Ovis aries: one gene and its partners. The protein of the gene in region 1 interacts with the protein of each later gene in a biochemical or structural test. Links are inferred from orthologs where the notes say so. Each region holds a gene or a part of one and is shown on either strand. Other genes may lie near its edges.

The links. The genes of interacting proteins can lie anywhere in the genome.
Region 2: the proteins of DMD (region 1) and DTNA form a complex in vitro, tested with the Homo sapiens proteins (3 studies listed by BioGRID and IntAct, with this or other methods). The link is inferred for Ovis aries from reciprocal best matches to the Homo sapiens genes DMD and DTNA.
Region 3: the proteins of DMD (region 1) and SNTA1 form a complex in vitro, tested with the Homo sapiens proteins (2 studies listed by BioGRID, with this or other methods). The link is inferred for Ovis aries from reciprocal best matches to the Homo sapiens genes DMD and SNTA1.

The regions. Positions count from the first base shown.
Region 1 is NC_056080.1:31,679,527-31,685,033, reverse strand, and holds part of DMD (dystrophin), read left to right. Parts: coding exon 1-105; intron 106-2,641; coding exon 2,642-2,779; intron 2,780-5,506; coding exon 5,507-5,507. UniProt on the Homo sapiens protein: Anchors the extracellular matrix to the cytoskeleton via F-actin. Ligand for dystroglycan.
Region 2 is NC_056076.1:22,643,480-22,649,508, reverse strand, and holds the start of DTNA (dystrobrevin alpha), read left to right. Parts: upstream 1-2,283; 5' UTR 2,284-6,029. UniProt on the Homo sapiens protein: May be involved in the formation and stability of synapses as well as being involved in the clustering of nicotinic acetylcholine receptors.
Region 3 is NC_056066.1:62,923,623-62,929,588, forward strand, and holds the start of SNTA1 (alpha-1-syntrophin), read right to left. Parts: upstream 3,747-5,966; 5' UTR 3,658-3,746; coding exon 3,348-3,657; intron 304-3,347; coding exon 118-303; intron 1-117. UniProt on the Homo sapiens protein: Adapter protein that binds to and probably organizes the subcellular localization of a variety of membrane proteins. May link various receptors to the actin cytoskeleton and the extracellular matrix via the dystrophin glycoprotein complex.

The DNA of each region.
Region 1 (5,507 bases):
GAATTGGAGCAGTTTAACTCAGATATACAAAAATTGCTTGAACCACTGGAGGCTGAAATTCAGCAGGGGGTGAATCTGAAAGAGGAAGACTTCAATAAAGATATGGTAAATTGGTTGTGATAAAAGTGTGAATGAACTAGGAATGAAATGAATAAATATTTCAAAGGAAATTAGATAATTCAAGTCTCCAACTAAATTCTCAGAGCATACCTTGTACATTTTGTGATTCTAATGATTTATTACAAATGCAAAGTATTGTTATTGAACTGTTTTGAATGCCAAATTACTATGATATGGGCATACAGGAGTACTTACAGATTCTAATAAATCACTCAACAATGTTTTGTCCATACTCAAAGGACAAAATGTAATGGATGGAAAAAAAAAGTCAAATCAGAAAATGAATTAGAAACTTAATAATAATAATAATAATAAGGCACAGCCATCAGAGAGGGCTGATATTTTGCTTCAGTCCTATTTTTGGTAATATAACATTTATTTTGGATAAGGGACAATTATACATGATATAAACATTGTTTATTAAAACTTAACACAATGTAGTTTTACAAAAAAGTTTAACAAGTATTATAGTATATATCTAAAATATGTGTAAATTCATGCTGCTTATTTCATGGGAAAAAAGAAATATAACCATGTGGGTTATTCCCAGACTCATTTCAACATGTCTTTTATGTTTCTCTCTGGCTTGAATGTTTCTGCCTCACATTCCTTTTCACTGACTTATTCTTTCTCCTTACTCCTCTTCACTCCTCTCCTTTCCCCTCTCCACAACCATCACCTATATGGCATTATTAACCTTTACATATGTCATGCTAGAGATTTCTCAGACATGTATCAGTGCTAGAGACTTCTCAGACAGTGCTTGAAAATGATATCAGAAGGTAAATTATAAGTTGTAAATAATAGGCACATGAAGCAATAGGAGAACCAGTTTTACCAACCTCAGTTCTCGTTGGTATCATGTCTGATTTCCTGGAGCTGCCTAACTCAGTACTCCCTGTGTATGGGTTTGATGATCTTGCCAATTCAGCTCATGGAAAGAAAGACCAGACACACCTTTTTCTAAGATACCGAGCTACAACTACCTCTTATTCATGTCAAAGAAGAAACCAGAGGGCACCAAGTTGGAAAAGAATGCTTCTTACCTCTTGGGCTGTTCACCAACTATGCCCTCTAGCTCTCAGCTGGTGTGGGGAAAGAAGTGCAGTAGGGGTTTTGTTTGTTCATTATTTTTATCCTCAGCCCCAGGAAATGTTTCAGATTTTTAAGGACATATTCTTAAAAGGAAGGTTTTTCAAAGACTGTAAACATAAGTGTCTATTACACTATTTCATTAGACAAATAACTGGCACATCTCAGATGAAAATCTCATTTCCTTAAAAAAATTGAATAGTTTCTCAGTTGTGTATAGAAGTTAACATATGCATTAGAGATTTAAGTATGCAACATTGAATGCCATGGATGATTATAAACACAAACATGTCGCATTTAAAAATTGTCTGCTTCTCTTAATTCATCAGAGTATCTTGGGTACTATTAAAAAGCAAACCTTCTTGATAGAAAGTATATATATATTGCATTGAAAGAAAAGATAGGAAATAGAAGTGAAACATCCAATGGTTACATATGCTACTCTATTGGACCAACACTGTTTAAATAATTCTATTTCAAAATAAATAAAATAAAAATAATTTTCTTAGAGTCTAAAGACCAAACTGCATATTAAAAATATTTAAAGTCATTTTTCTAATCCATATTTAATATTAATTGTATTTATTTAAAAATAATGCATATGTGACATATTTTTAGAAATTATCTGCAATATTTGACAGCAGTTGAGCATGTTTTTTTTTTTTCCTAAAGCTCCAAATCATTTAGTTTAAGTAAAAAAAAAGAAAGAAAGTTGCTCAGTCGTCTTTGCGACCCCACGGACTGTAGCCTACCAGGCTCCTACATCCATGGGATTTTCCAGGCAAGAGTACTGGAGTGGGATGCCATTTCCTTCTCCAGGGGATCTTCCCGACTCAGGGATTGAAACCAGGTCTCCCGCATTGCAGACAGACGTTTTACCATCTGAGCCACCAGGGAAGCTAGTTTATGTAAAACAGAACTTATTATATAGAAATCAGTGTACACTTAAAACAGTGTATTTTCACTTAGGAGTGTGTGTTAAAATTTAAAATTTTACAGTCTCACATTCACAGAGCCACATCTATATTCCTCTGTGAAATAACATTATATGTAACAAGTTTTGTTTTCTTCTCCAAAGTTTTTTTTTTTGTTTTAATTTCTAGAAATGCATTAAAAATCAAAGGCCAAAGAATGCTTTCATAACAATTCACTTGTCTGAAATGATGTAGTAAATTGCTCCCCCATCTTTCTACATACAACTCTAATCAGATGTGTCCTTTTGAAATAGACAGGAGGAAACTTCTTTTAAAAGTTAAAGTATAGCATATTAAAAAAGAAACTCTGAGTGCAGTATCTTAGGATAGCATTCCCTGAAAGTTTTAAATTGGAGTTTTTGTATGTGTTTTAATAACATGTTTTATTATCTCTGTTAAAGATGTACAGCTTTTTTTAAACCAAAATGAAGACTGTACTTGTTGTTTTTAATCAGAGTGAAGACAATGAGGGTACTGTAAAAGAATTGTTGCAAAGAGGAGACAACTTACAACAAAGAATCACAGATGAGAGAAAGCGAGAGGAAATAAAGATAAAACAGCAGCTGTTACAGACAAAACATAATGCTCTCAAGGTATTAGAGCTAAAATTATAATATACCTTGCCTGTGTTTTTTTTTTTTCATGTACAGGGTAAAATCTATTGTTCATAAATAAAATTTGCTTAAGAATCTTAGTCACCAGAAATACATATTTTTTTTTCTGTTCAGTGTCTGTGTTTTAACAATTTTGAGTGCTGTCTTTGATTTTGAAAGATGTGCTGCTTAAAAATTTCAAGGTATTTACTTAGACACATTTTTCTGAGTAGTAATCAAAAGATATTAAATGCATCATTCATTTGTTCATATATTTAATTTTGTAATACAACCTATTTTGTAAGTTATTTTGACATGTGTCTTGAAAAACCTGTTTAACTGTCAGCGTAACCAATTTGTATATTTTTGAGGTTTTCTGCTCTTGATATTTTCTTGATTTAATTCAGAGTAGGTTCACTTTTTGGGGTAACCTAACATTTGTTTAATAGTTCATTTTTTTTTTCAGTTAACTTCATTTTGCCTTTAAGAGAGTTACTCTTTGCAACTAACTAAACATTTAGAAGTCTAATTTCATTTATATAGGAGTCCTCTAAAATAATCTTAATGTCCATGAGAAAGAACCGGTGCTCTCATTTTAACCAGCATTAGTATAGAGCTTCAAGTACCCATGTGTCTCATCTGGAATTGCACAGGAAAGACAGAATAGAATATTGGTGTTTATATAATATCTAGAAAGTTCTTGAGAAGAGATGGGACATGTGAAAGATTCTGTGAAATAACCTTTTATTTTTTAATGTGCTTTTCAATATTCACTATTTGCATGCATGGCTGATTTTCTAATACTGTTAATTGCTGAGTTTTTCATTGTAAATCACTCTTTTAGAGCTGTGTAGCCACGTAGGTGGATCCACCTTATAGGTGAATAGACTCTGCTTTCTATATGCAAATAAGAGTATAAAACCTTTTCCCATATAGTCAGACAACCAAATAAACACTGCTGAGAATGTAATTACACAATATTGTGCCTGCAAGGAATCCACAAGGAAAGTCTAATTGGCCAGCAGGTGTTCTGAAGGTAACTGCTGATAAATATAGGAAATAGAAAAGGCCTCTTCCCTGAGGGAGTACAAGAGCAAGCCATAATGTGCTCAGAAAATCAGAAAGCTGTGTAATTCACATGCTTCCAACTGTGACCAAGCTTTTAGAAACATCTACACTGGTCGTATGATGATATGTGTCCTACTGAACAGCAGTGTTTAATGGTTATCTGGCATACCTGTAAAGAAATATCTATAATATCTCTTAATATCTTTACACATTACACACCACCTTGTGCTTAGGAAATAAAAATAATTTCAGATTTGGTGACCACAAGCCCTTTCTCTTGGCGAAGATGTAAGTTGCGTCACCAGTAAGGCATGGCTCAACTCTCTTTCACGTGGCTGTATCTTGGTACCTTTGAAAAAAGCAGCATTCCATCTGGCTCATCCCAGGCATTTATTACTTCCATAGGAGGTTTAGAAATTCAACTGAAAATGTAAACTGTAGAAAATTTTACATCCCCAATTTTAAACAAAATGCAGAATGAAATCAAAATCATTTTTCTCAGATATATGTTAAAAGCAATTAATGAAAATCAACACTTGCCACACCAATATACTAAATTCAGTAGTTATTAATCTGCCAAGTGTTCAAGTCTAGTCCTTATGAAATATTTCAAAGAAGGTGAAACTTTCCAAAGCAGTGACTATTTCAGCAGTTCTTTGATATTCACTCTTTTCTTTTGCTCCAGTTATATCTATACATGAAACCCTAATTGCTACTACTCTGAAGAAATGGAAACTGTATCCTGAGCTCTTATGTTCCCTTATAAAACATGTAAAATATATTCCCTTGTAGAATAGCATTACAACAAATTCTGTTGATCAGGGAAGACATTGGATGATCTTGTAAGGAGTAAGATGATTAATTTTCCCCTTTTGTGATTCATTAAAGTAGTCACCCTTATTTGTCTCATCAGGTTGATTGAAACCTGTGCACTTTTCCTTTTCTAAATTTTATCATTTTGCATTTGGGTTTGATGCCAATGAGCAAGTTTGCCATACAAGTCAAAAAGGAAAATAATTTTTATGATATTTAAATTGTCATTTTCATGCATACTCACAGGCGTACACTTTTCGCACTTGAACATATATATATAGCTTGAAGCAATTTCTGTGATAACTAAGAACACTCTATGTTTCTAATCACAAAATATTCATGTCCTATGAACCTTTTTTTGCAGACATTTCTAAAATTACAAATGTAAACTACTTGGCTATATAAACTCAAAATTTTGAACCTAGTGCTGAAGATAGAAATTTTAGAATTTTTACCTATTTTAAAATTCAAATGCAAACTCAGCAAGTTTGTGCAAGTATGTAGTTACCTCAGTTGAGTTCACATATTGAACAATTTCACAAACTGTACACAGTAATTCATTTGATTCATTAAGAGTTAATCAAATATGAAAAGATTTCTAAAAAAGTTTGAGCATACTAAGAAAAAATACTGAAAGTGGATTGTTCAGTTTTCTTAGCTTCGTGTAATGGGTTCTGTCACGTGACTACATAATTTAATAATCTGCTTGTATGGGTAGCATTTAAATGTGAATTTAACTGAACCTGAACAAGAAGGTGAGGGAACCAAATTATTTTTAAATGACTACAGCCAGAAGTATAATATGCTTATATATTGATATTTTAATAATATCTGCACCATGAACAGG
Region 2 (6,029 bases), on another chromosome or scaffold:
ACCATGCTGTACATGAGACCCTTAGAACTTTTTGTGTAACTTTTTTCTTTTCCCGCTCTTCCTGCGTTTGTTTCTTGAGCTAAGAACTGTCTGCTTTGTTGGTTTGAGTCATATTCCCTAATGCACATAGAAATGAAGAAAGTGAATAAAGGAGCAGAGTTAAAGAAAGGAAAAGAAAGGGCAAGAAGGGCGGTCTGGATCAGAGAAAAAAAATCAAATGGAAAGAGGCAAGGTGGAAGAAAATGATGAGGGATGAAGAGGATATAGGCATTTTACGATGTGCAGGTCTCTTTTCTCAGCAAAATTGTGGCATTGTTACAGCCCATTAACTTGATCCTGCCCAGCTCCCCTTGGCATCCGCTCATGTATTTCTTCACTTCTGCTTTAGTCCATGTCAGTGTGTGTATCTATGGGCAACCTCCCAACACCACTGCCTGCAGGATAGTCGTTCCCATGAGTCTTATTTCATACAATTCCATTTTAGTTTTTATTAAGAAGCCTAGTGGACTCTATAGTTAGACATGTCTGGTTTTAAGCCCTAAATTGATCACTTGGGCAATTGCTTAATCTCTCTGAAGCTCGGTTTCCACATAAGTAAAATAGAAAGAGTAATACGCCATTGTTATGGTGTTCTTATAAGAACATAATGAGAAAATTCCTTCTTAGTGTTTGGTATCTTGTTCACTTTTTTGTAAAACAGTTGTGTTTTAAATAGTATTGTGATTTTTATTATTGTTACTGTATCTTCTCCCAGAAAACGTCTGATTTTCTTGTCCTCTTGCAGAAAACAATGAACTCCCTGCCTGTCCCCTTTCCACCTCTCCAAACCCAGCATTCCCCAACTCTAAAAAATAAGAAATGGAAAATTTAAAGCACGCATTCCTCCCTGGCTTATATCTGAATGCTCAGTGCCCTGCCCTTCACTTTTATTCTCATTCTCCTCAGGGAAATCTAACTCCTACAAATCCAGATAGCAATTAGCCCATGGTCAGTAGTAGCCTCAGTTTTGTTTTGCTTTCTCAGCACATTAGCCATGGACAAGAGAGGACCTGTTTCTTTCTCCTATTCTTTTTGCTGCTGTTTAGTGGCTAAGTTGCATCTGACTCGCGATCCCTGGCGAGTCCGCCAGGCTCCTCTGTCCACAGGATTTCTCAGGCAAGAATACTGGCATAGGTTGCCATTTCCTTCTCCAGAGGATCTTCCTGACCCAGGAATGGAACCAGCACCTCCTGCTTGGCAAGCAGATTCTTTACCACTGAGCCACCAGGCTAGGCCTTCGTACTCTTTTCAGGCTCCTCCAAAACAAAATCCTTTCAAGCACCAGGAGTCATGCCAGTAAAGTCCTAAAGAACGTTGCCTTTCCAGATGCAAGTTTCTGCCTGACACTCGCATACTGACTTTGTATATCTGGGCACCCTGGGTTCTACTACATGAGGAGCCCATCACTATCTTCTCTGCATCATGCCAGCACTACCTCAACATCTTTCCTGTTTTCCTGGTGTTCAGAGGCCAGGTTGCTCTCTCCTCTGGGCAGCTGCTCTGCAGATATATCCATTGACTGCTCCCTTTCACTAATGATTAGTGCTCCCTAAAAAATAAAGCTACCTTTGATTCTCACCAAATCCTGGCTTTCTTCCTCAAAACCAGCCCATGCAAGGAGCTATAATTTCTTCATTTGTGTATCCAGAGACATAAGCATTTTGGTGGGGTGAGGATCCATACTTTTTATCAAATCATTGAAAGGGGCTAAACTTTAAAAGAAATTATAGACTGGATAGTATTGCATTGCTTAATCAGCTAATACCTCTTAATTAAGAAGCTAAGTTGAATGCAATCACTTCAAAAAAGTTTTGAATTACATTTTTACAATTTATCAAATTATTTTACTTGCATAAGTGTGTATACATATACACATTTTTACATATCCAAGTAAAATAATGTATATAGTATATACAGTATATATGGGACTTCCCAGGTAACTCAGTGATAAAGATCTGCCTGCCAAACAGGATGCGGGTTTGATTCCTGGGTCAGGAAGATCCCCTGGAGAAGGAAATGGCAACCCGACTCCAGTATTCTTGCCTGGGAAATCCCATGGACAGAGGAGTCTGGCAGGCTATAGTCCATGGGGTTGCAAAAGAGTCAAACACGACTTAATGACTAAACAACAACATACAATATGTATACTATTATCTGTATAATACTATGTATATACTATACATATATAGTATACATGTATACTATATAAATATAGTATACCACTATAATGAGATTAAGTGGGGCTCAGAAATAAGTGGGGCCAAATTCAAAAATTTGGAGTTGTCTTATTGCAAGATTAGTGAAAAACTGTCTTACAATTACGGGGAGAGGGGAATTTTCATTCTTCATTTATTTAATTTCATTCAATAAATATGTCGGGAAAGGAAATAGACCTACATTTATGAGCAGGGACATCCTACACTGAATTGAGACGGTTCCAAATAGTCAGAAGGCAGACCGTTTCCTAACACCCGCCCCTCAGAAGTTAAAGACTTCACAGCCCCAGCAGAATGGCAGGGAAGACTCTGGTTCCAGTATTCAGGTTAACCATAGATCCCCCATAACCAAGTGGGCCTATCCAGTATGTCCCCTACATACAGATGAGTCCTGTTCTGAGAGTGCATTCATAAGTTCAATTTGTTCATAAACCCAACAAAGTTAGCCTACAATTGACTATACAGTACTGCAATGTAATAGGTTTATAATACTTTTCACACAATACATTAAAAATAAGCACAAAAAATAAAGAAAACACCTTTAACCTTACAGTAGAGTACTTGAAAAGCACAGTAGTGCAGTACAACAGCAGGCATACAGGGGCTGGCATCGAGTGAACAGGCTAGAAGAGTTACTGACTAGAGGAGGAGGGAGGGGAGGTGGGAGATGGGAGAGCTGAAGGATCGTCAGCAATGGGAAACGGAGAGCGAGCCGCAGCTTCACTCACACCTGGTGTTGACAGCACAGGTTCTGGCTCTTTGCTGGATGCAGCTCTATCTAACCCTCTTGATAAAAATGACCCAGTGATGTCTGGGTCATAGCTCCTTTGTTCTCATCAGAGATGACACGGTAGCACTGCACTGCATTCTGAACGGCTGCTGGCTCCTGCGTGTACTGTTCTATGTCCAGGTCCTGTGCCTCAAAAGCCAACAGTGACTCCTCAGATAAAGAAAACCTCCTTGCCATTTCCTGCTCCACTTGTAGAGAATGCACACACGTGACAATGTACGCCAGACACGTGAGCTAACTTCCGTGACTGGACATGCAAACGTACATTCGCATCTTTGAAAGTTCACAACTTGAAGGTTCATGGGGACTTCCTATACAAGTAACATTATTGCTTGTGAGAAATATAGATGCGCACACACACAACCCTTGTCCCAAAGGCACATCATATGAGATAAAACACGGTTCTCTAAAAACATCTTAGGTCCCAGTGCAGAGCTGAAGGCAGCGGTACAGATGACCCCCTGTACTTGTGGTTGTCTCCCCCAGAGACTCTTGAGGTCCCTTTGATGAAGCTCTTAGGCAGGGCTTCCAAGTCCTTCAAAGACTTTCTAGTCCTTTTAACCTCACACAACAGAGTCCAAGTTTTTATCATCTTCCTTCCAAATGGCTCCTTTTTCCCCATACCAAACTGCTCCCAGCCCTGCTCTGCAATCTTTAAATCCTGACTAATAGGAGGAGGTGAGAATCATACCCCCGTGCTCTTGAGCAGAAGGCCTAGCCTCATACCAAGCCAAATGGAGTCAAACAAAAGCCAGTGACCTTAAACATCTTGTACACTCTAACCCCAGAAAGCCTTCCTTCCTGACTTGAAAGTACCACTGATAGTACTCCTCTCCAGATAAAAATTGTTTTCTCACTTTTTAATGACATTTTTTTTGTTACTTAAAGTTTGCCTTAGTATGTACCCATATCAATATATCAGGGCTTCCCTGGTGGCTCAGACGATAAAGAATCTGCCTGCAATGCAGGAGACCTGGGTCCATCCCTGCATTGGGAAGATCCCCTGGAGAAGGGAACGGATACCCACTCCAATATTCTGGCCTGGAGAATTTCATGGACAGAGGAGCCTGGTGGGCTACAGTCCATGGGGGGTCACAAAGAGTCAACTGAGCGACTTTCACCATCACCATCGTCATCAGTGTATGCATATTTACATTCTCTGAAGAATTAATTATCTTCTCCCTTGGCTCAAAGTACATTGTAAAGTGGATCTTACAAGCTAGAGAAACATATTATAAGGCAACACAGGAATTCCAGCCTAGGGACTTCCCTGGTTGTCCAGTGGTTAAGAATCTGCCTGCCAATGCAGGGGACATGGGTTCCACCCCTGGTTTGGAAGCTAGGATCCCACATGCCTCAGGGCAAGCTTGGTTCACCGCAATCACCAAGCCGGCTTTCCTAGAGCCAGTGCTGGGCAACAAGAGAAGCCACCGCATCGAGAAGCTGTGCACTCGTGACTGGAGAGCAGCCCCCATTTGCTGCAACTAGAGAAAAGGCCAGGTGCAGCAACAAACACTCAGTGCAGCATCGAACACTCAGCACAGCCAAAAATAAACTTTTTTAAAAAGAATTCCAACCTGTTGTTATTGTTCAACAGTCAAATTCAACTAACACAGTATTTCTAGTATTAATCTGGCTATGTATCAGGGATGCCTGTGATGCACTGTTAAAGTGCAAGGGTTCCACTTCAACCCCCGATTCAGTAGATCCAGGTAGTATGTATATTTTTTTATGAAGTCTCCAGGCCAGGGTGATGTTCAGCCACTGCTGAGAACCACTATGGTGGGTACTTTGGAGGAAAGACCAAATCCCTGATAACAAATCCAGCGGGTCCTAGCCCTAAAATAGTAAGCTCATGTCCCTCATTCCCCAAAACAAAACTCAAGTTCCAAGATGATGTTCAAAGTAAAAGGCTGAGCCAGAAACCCATTATAGCCATTTATTTCAGTGACAGCATTTTCCTACTTTCAGGAGCTCATCTAGATAAAGGACTAGGAGGTAGAAGCAAATGCAATTATACTTTGCCTCAGGAAAGAGCTCTGAATGCTGTTCTATCATATTGCCAGAGATCGGGACTAGAAAGTAAATCTGAGAAAATGCTATCAGAGGCCCCTTTTCATTAATAGAAATGGAAACAGGCTTTTATATGCCACCAGTAAAGAATCCACCTGCCAATGCAGGAGCCGCAGGTTCGATCCCTCGGTTGGGAAGATTCCCCTGGGGGAGGAACTGGCAGCCGGCTCCAGTGTTCTTGCCTGGGATAACTCTATGGACAGAGGAGCCTGGCAGGCTACAGTCCATGGGGTCACAAAGAGGTAGACACAGCTGAAGTGACTGAGCATGGACAGGCACACAGGAAATCAGTTGGGGAGGAAAGGAGCTTGGAAGGGCCTGCATTGCAGTTATTCACTTTGGGCATCCCCACAGTTGGTGACGGCTGGACCCCACACGTTCCTGTCATCCACCTGGAGCGAAGGGAGGGAAGTGTAAAACCTGGGAAGGGGCTATCACACTAACTGCTAAATCCTCATGTCTAGTGTTTGCTAAAGGGGAGCAGAAGCCAAGCAGAGCCAGACATTTCTAAAAACACTGTCAGCTTTGGTGAATTTAAAATGTGAGAGTGTGAATCAGGGTATGAGTTGCTGTGTTTGTATGTGTCTGGGTTTACATAAATCTGGACGCTGGGAACTGTTTTCATCTGAATGATCATTTCCAAGACGACAGTGATTTAAAATGGGGGGATTCCGGTAAGAAGTAACACCCAAAGGGATTTCTTAGTGACGTTTGAGAGTTCTGTGAGTCCTTTCTCCCTAGTCTCCTTTTGGGCTGTTGATCACCAACTGCTTTTCAGTTTACCAATTTCAGAAAACCTTCATTTGCGTTGAACAGTGGCGGCAGGAATAAGATTGCTGGCTATTAGAATCCATACTAGCTGAAGAATCTCAAAATTAAAAGCAAAAAAAATAATGGATTCCGTTTCCTGC
Region 3 (5,966 bases), on another chromosome or scaffold:
GGCAGGTCTCCAAGTTCTGTTTCTGTTTTCAACCCTGCCCACCTCCCAGACTCCACTGCTTGAGGCCTGGGGGGTTGTAGGGAAGAACTGAACACCCCTGGGGTCCCCAGTGCTTACCCTCCAGCACCACCTCTTTGCCTGTCTTCTTCAGGACTTGCACCGCCTCGTCATGGGTGGCAGAGGAAAGGTCCTCCCCATTCACGGACAGGATGGCATCCCCCACAAAGAGGGCCTCCGTCTGGTCAGCTGCCAGGCCCTTGAAGATCTTGGAGATGAGAATAGGCATCTTGTTCTCTCGGCCCCCTGGACAAGCACAGAAAGAGGAAGAAATTGAGGCACACATTCCAACACTTGCAAGTCACAACAAGGCAAAATTATTTCTGAAGGTCTCCCACTGTGTCCAGCCCAGTACTGGGAAAGCAGGAGTGCGGGGCAAAGAGAATCTCAGAAAAGAGCCTTAGAAGTTTGGGGCACTAATAATACCTAAAAGGCATTTTCTAAATTTATAATGTTATAATGGATCTTTTGGTTAAGTGCTTTGGGTGGTCACCAGTGTTGGAAGAACTTACAAGATGCTTCAATAACTTCTTATTTTTTATTTTACGTGAGTTTCCCATAATGGGGGAACTCACTGATAACCTCTAATTGAGAATAAAGATAGAAGTCAGTTACTGCTATGGCCACAAAGCTGAAAGCTTCACAACCTAGGTCTCAGGCTAGAAACCAGGGCTTTAAAGTCTAGAGATTTCAAAAGCCTATCTGAATTGCATCTCTGATGCAAAAAGACAAAAAAAATCAAATATTAATACATTTTACCATATTGCTTTATTTATAAACTCTTGAATGTCCTTTAAAAATAATAAACATTGATAACAGTTCACATTAGTTCCACATACCAAGTGCCAAGCACCATGTTAAATGCTTTCAATCTTGTCTCATTGCATCTTCACAATACCCAATCACACAGGCATGTTCAGATTCCTATTGGGAAGGTTGAAGTGTGGAGACAAATCCGTTGTCCAAGGTCACCCAGCTAATTAGTGGCAAAGACAATATCTGAACCTAGGTCTCCTGGTTCCAGAACCAACACTCTTAACCCTCTGGTAGGCTGCAAGTCAGGCCCTCAGATACCACACTATTGCTCCATCCTCAAAGATGAGGAACAAGTGGACCAGGGAGAGGAGGTCATAATTTCAAGGTCACTCAACAGACTGGTAGCCGAAGTAGGACTGGAATGCCTCTCTGGACCCCCACATAGGCCCAGCAGTTTGCCCACTGCAGTGCACAGAGCTTGAAGCCTAGGAAAGGAAGGAGCTTCTGTTTAAACAGAGTTGGCCAAAGTGTTCATACGAGTTTTTCTATAAGATGATATGGAACACCCCAAATGAACTTTTTGGCCAACCCAGTATCTCTCTGCCCTCTTCCACCTGAAACTAGGGACTTCAAGTCAGTTTGAATCCATGGCCATTCCTCGATGCCTTGGGCTGGGCTGGACCCTAAAGGAAAGGTCAACACAGCAACAGGAGTCCAGTCTCCATACAAAAAGAATTGAATGGAGCTGGTATTACCCCTGACACCTCCTAAAAGTCCCTTTACCCCCACCTGGGAGTAAAGCTAGGGAATAACTTTATGTGACCTTGAAAAGTCCTCTTCCTCTCCAAGACTCAGTCTATCTGCAAAATGGAACGCTATCTGAACATTAAGTTCCTTCCTGCTTTAACACAGAGTGTACAATTTCTGCCTTGATCTGTTGCCCTAACCCACACTGGTGTTGAGGGCAAAACAGGTGTCCACTCCCTGGCTTTCTCATTACCCCCCTTTTAGATCCCTTTGGTTGGTTGCATGGAAGTTTGGAGTTTTTCCAAACTTTCCTCCATCTTTGAGGATGGAGCAATAGCGTGGTATCTGAGGGCCTGACTTGCAGCCTACCAGAGGGTTAAGAGTGTTGGTTCTGGAACCAGGAGACCTAGGTTCAGATATTGTCTTTCCTTTTCCTGGGGAAAAATCAACTTCTCTGAACACTCTTTAGTGGCTGGATAATTGAGGTTCAAATGCCAGCTCTGTCACTCATCGACTGTGTGATCCTAGGAAAATCATTTTACTTTTCCAAGTTTCAGTTTCCTCACCTGCTAAGTGAAGATTATACTTCCTATCTTTTGGTACTTGTTGCCAGGATGAAGTGGATCCTGAGCCTAGAGCACTGGGCATAGCGCTCGGCACACAATGGTACCCAAGTCACCACCATCCCCACCCCCTCGGGAAGGAATGGTGAACGCAGCGGCTGGGGTGTGCAGACTTTTCAGCACCAGGTTACTAACTTTGGGAGTCTTTCTTGACTTTCATTTTTCCTCTCATCTAACAGCAGTAACTATCTAGGCACCTATTATGTGTTGGCAGACTGAGTATTTTGGACACCTATTTTCGTAGAAACATCCCAATTCTATCATTACTCTCATTATATAGTTGAGGAAACTCAGGTCCAGAGATGGAAAAGGGCTTCCCAGGTGGCAATAGCGGTAAAGAACCCGCTTGCCAACGCAGCGGACATGAGAGATGTGGGTTTTATCCCTGGGTCGGGAAGATCCCCTGCAGGAGGAAATGGCAACCCAGTATCTTTGCCTGGAGAATCCCAAGGACAGAGGAGTCTACCAAGCTACAGTCCATGGGATCTTACCACACAAGTTCACACAGGTTGATTCTGGACTTCAGTCTGGGTGGCACCTTAAAGAAAGCTGTCAGTACTGGGGGCTGAAAGCCCATCTCAGTGCTGTGATGGTGGACACTTAAGACTCTTCACCTATACATACAGGTTTCCTAGGCGCTCAGATTTCCAGGTCCTTTGTGGCCCCCTGTCTGTGAGCCCAGCCCAGTTGGCACCTCCACCTAGTCGCCATCCCAGCAACGCTTCCCACTCCAGACCTTGCCCCTCCTTCCCTTCTGTTTTGACTGTCTCTTGAAGACTTCCTCCTCCTTTGCCTAGTAGCACCCCAGGCCTCAGTCTCCCTTCTCTATCCTTTGCTCTACTGGGGTCCCTCTTGTCCTTGATACCCATGCAACTCCTGAAAGGCAATCAGTGTCAGACCTCTTTGCCTCAGCACACAACTCCCCACCCACTTGTCCTTGGCGTGCCCCCAAAGCCGTCCACACCTGTGCCCTCTGAATGAGACCTCAAAGCCCTCTCTGACCTTGGTGCTCTGGTGCCCTCGGTTCTGTCCTCCCAGAAGCCGTCACCCCGGACAGAAGTCCACCAACTCCACGTCCTCAATACGCTGCCAGCCCCCGCGATCCCTGCGCCTTAGCGGTCCCACAGACACCAAGACCCGTGCCCTCGTTGCCCCCGCGCCCACCTTTGATGCTGATACCCAGCCCGCCGGCGTCGGCCTTGCGCACCGTCACGCGGCGCGGCTGGAGCAGCAGCGCCTCCGGCAGCGGCGGGGACGCGGCGCCCGGTTCGGCGGCGCCGTTGAGCTGCGCGGGCTCCGGCTCCCGCTGGGCACCGGGCTCAGGTCCGGGCTCGCCGTCGGCGGGGCTCACGGTCAGCGCGTCCTCCTCTAGACTGAGCAGCACCCGCTGCCACCGCTCGCCACCAGCCCCCGAGCCTGCCCCGGCGCGCAGTTCCAGCAGTCCGGTGCGCGGGGCGCGCCTGCCTGACGCCATCTTCGCCTCCGAGCCCCCGGGCCGCCGCGCTCGCCCTGCCCCCGCAGTGCCCGGCCAGCTCCGACCCAGCGCCCAGAGCTGAGGGCAGCGGGGGCCCAGCTGGGCCAGCCGCCACCCTACCCCAGGCCGCTGGGGGTGGAGCATCGGTGGGCGGGGCTGCATGTGGGTGTGGCTAACAGCGAGGGGCGTGGTCACCGGCAAGCCAGAAGGGGCTGTGACGGGTTCCAAGAGCCAGAGGATATACTGTGAGACTACATTACTTTGCCCACAAAGGTCCATATAGTCAAAACTATGGTTTTTCCAGTAATCACGTACAGATTTGAGAGTTGGACCATAAAGAAGGCTGAGCGCCGAAGAATTGATGCTTTCGAACTGTGGTGCTGGAGAAGACTCTTGACAGTCCCTTAAATAGCAAGGAGATCAAAACAGTCAGTCCTAAAGGAAATCAACCCTGAATATTCATTGGAAGGACTGATGCTGAAGCTGGAGCTCCAATACTTTGGCCACCCGATGCGAAGACCCGGCTCATTAGAAAAGACGCTGATGCTGGGAAAGATTGAGGGCAGGATGAGAGGGGACGACAGATGATGAGAGGGGACAACAGATGATGAGATGCTTGGATGGCATCACCGATTCGATGGACATGAGTCTGAGCGAAATCTGGGAGATGGTGATGGACAAGGAAGCCTGGCGTGCTTCAGTCCATGGGGTCACAAAGAGTCGGACACGACTGAGCGACTGATGACAACAACATGGGCATGGGGACATAAGGATGTCCGGATGGGACCCAAAGTTAAGGCAATGAGAGCGTGAAGTGGGGTGGGCGGGGCCCTGGGGGCCCGGCTTCGTGTCCCGGGCTGGACCCTAAGATCCTGTGCAGGAGACAGCCGGGCGAAGCCGTCGAGGGCCGAGGCCGTAGCTCGCAGCCGTGGGATCACGAGAAAAAGATACAGAACCGTGGATCGTGGTGCGAGGCTTTGAACTTGGGTGTGGGGCTGCATATGGCAGAGCGCTGGACTGCAGGGACAGGGCTTGAGTTTAAGAGGCAGACATCGAGCTGCAAGGGACTTCGCAGGCGGGCGTATAGTGCAGGAGATTTGCGGGTTTCCGCCTGTGGGGCGGGAACTTCGGTCTGTGGGTATGGCTTAGTGTGGGGTGCGGTGTCTAACGCTGACAGGCCCCGCCCTCTGGGATAAGCGCGATGCTGGCTGTTGAGGGATTGGGCAAGGCGTAACACTCCCCGCGTTGAAACTGGAAAGGAGTTGAAGAGATTAACCCCCTGTTCTTCACAGTCGAATACAGAAAAGCCTGAATTCCACACTGGACAGAGAAGAACCCAGAACTCCTGGTGTTGGGGAAGACGGCTGGAAGGTGGGGCTTCTGGATCTGGACCTCTGGAGACCTGTTTTTTAACCCTGTTCAGAAACTGTGAGCTCCATATCGACCTTGGTCCTGGCACTACAGTTCTCTAGGCCTCAATTACCTCATCTGTGAAATGGGGGTCCTAATAACCCCTATAACCCTCACAGGGACTGTGTCAGGATTAAATCAGTGGGAAAATATATTTTACTCTGTGAATCTTATGCAATCAATATAATCACTTTGTTTTTTATTGAATCCAATTTTATTTATTTGTTGAGTTGGCCAGGCCTAGATCTGAGCATTTTCATGTGTTTTCTTAGCTTTACAGTAGCCTCGTGAAGTAGCTACAGTTAAGAATACTTCCGTTATACCGAAAGGAAAATTTTGATTCAGAAGATCTAATTGGCCCAGTTCACACATTTGTGAGTAGGACAGAGCTGGGATTCAAACCTAGTCTTGTCTCATACCAGTGCCTGGGCACTGACCCTGGGCACTAGACAGATGAGGTGTGATCATTACCAGAAAAAACACACTACCTCACAGACCTCAACCAGCCCTCATATCTACTCTGTTTCCATCTTCCACTCCTACCTGGGATGCTGTTGGACCATAAATAGGGCCACATCAGTGTATAGATTCCCTGCAAGTAGAATCTTCCACATAAAATACTATCAAGGGGAAGAAAAAAAAGCTCACAAGAAAACAGGTGCAGTGGTACAGAGGAGCCTGTTTTCAGGGCAGGAATAGAGACCCAGACAGAGAGAAGAGACGTGAGGACACAAGGTGTGAGGGGAAGGAGGGGGTGAGCTGAACTGGGAGCGCAGCATTGACATACATACACTACCATGTATAAAACAGAGAGCTCGTAGGAAGCAGCTGTACAGCCAGGGAGCTCAGCTCGGGGCTCTGTGATGACCTACAGGGGTGGGATGGGGGAGGGAAGGGAG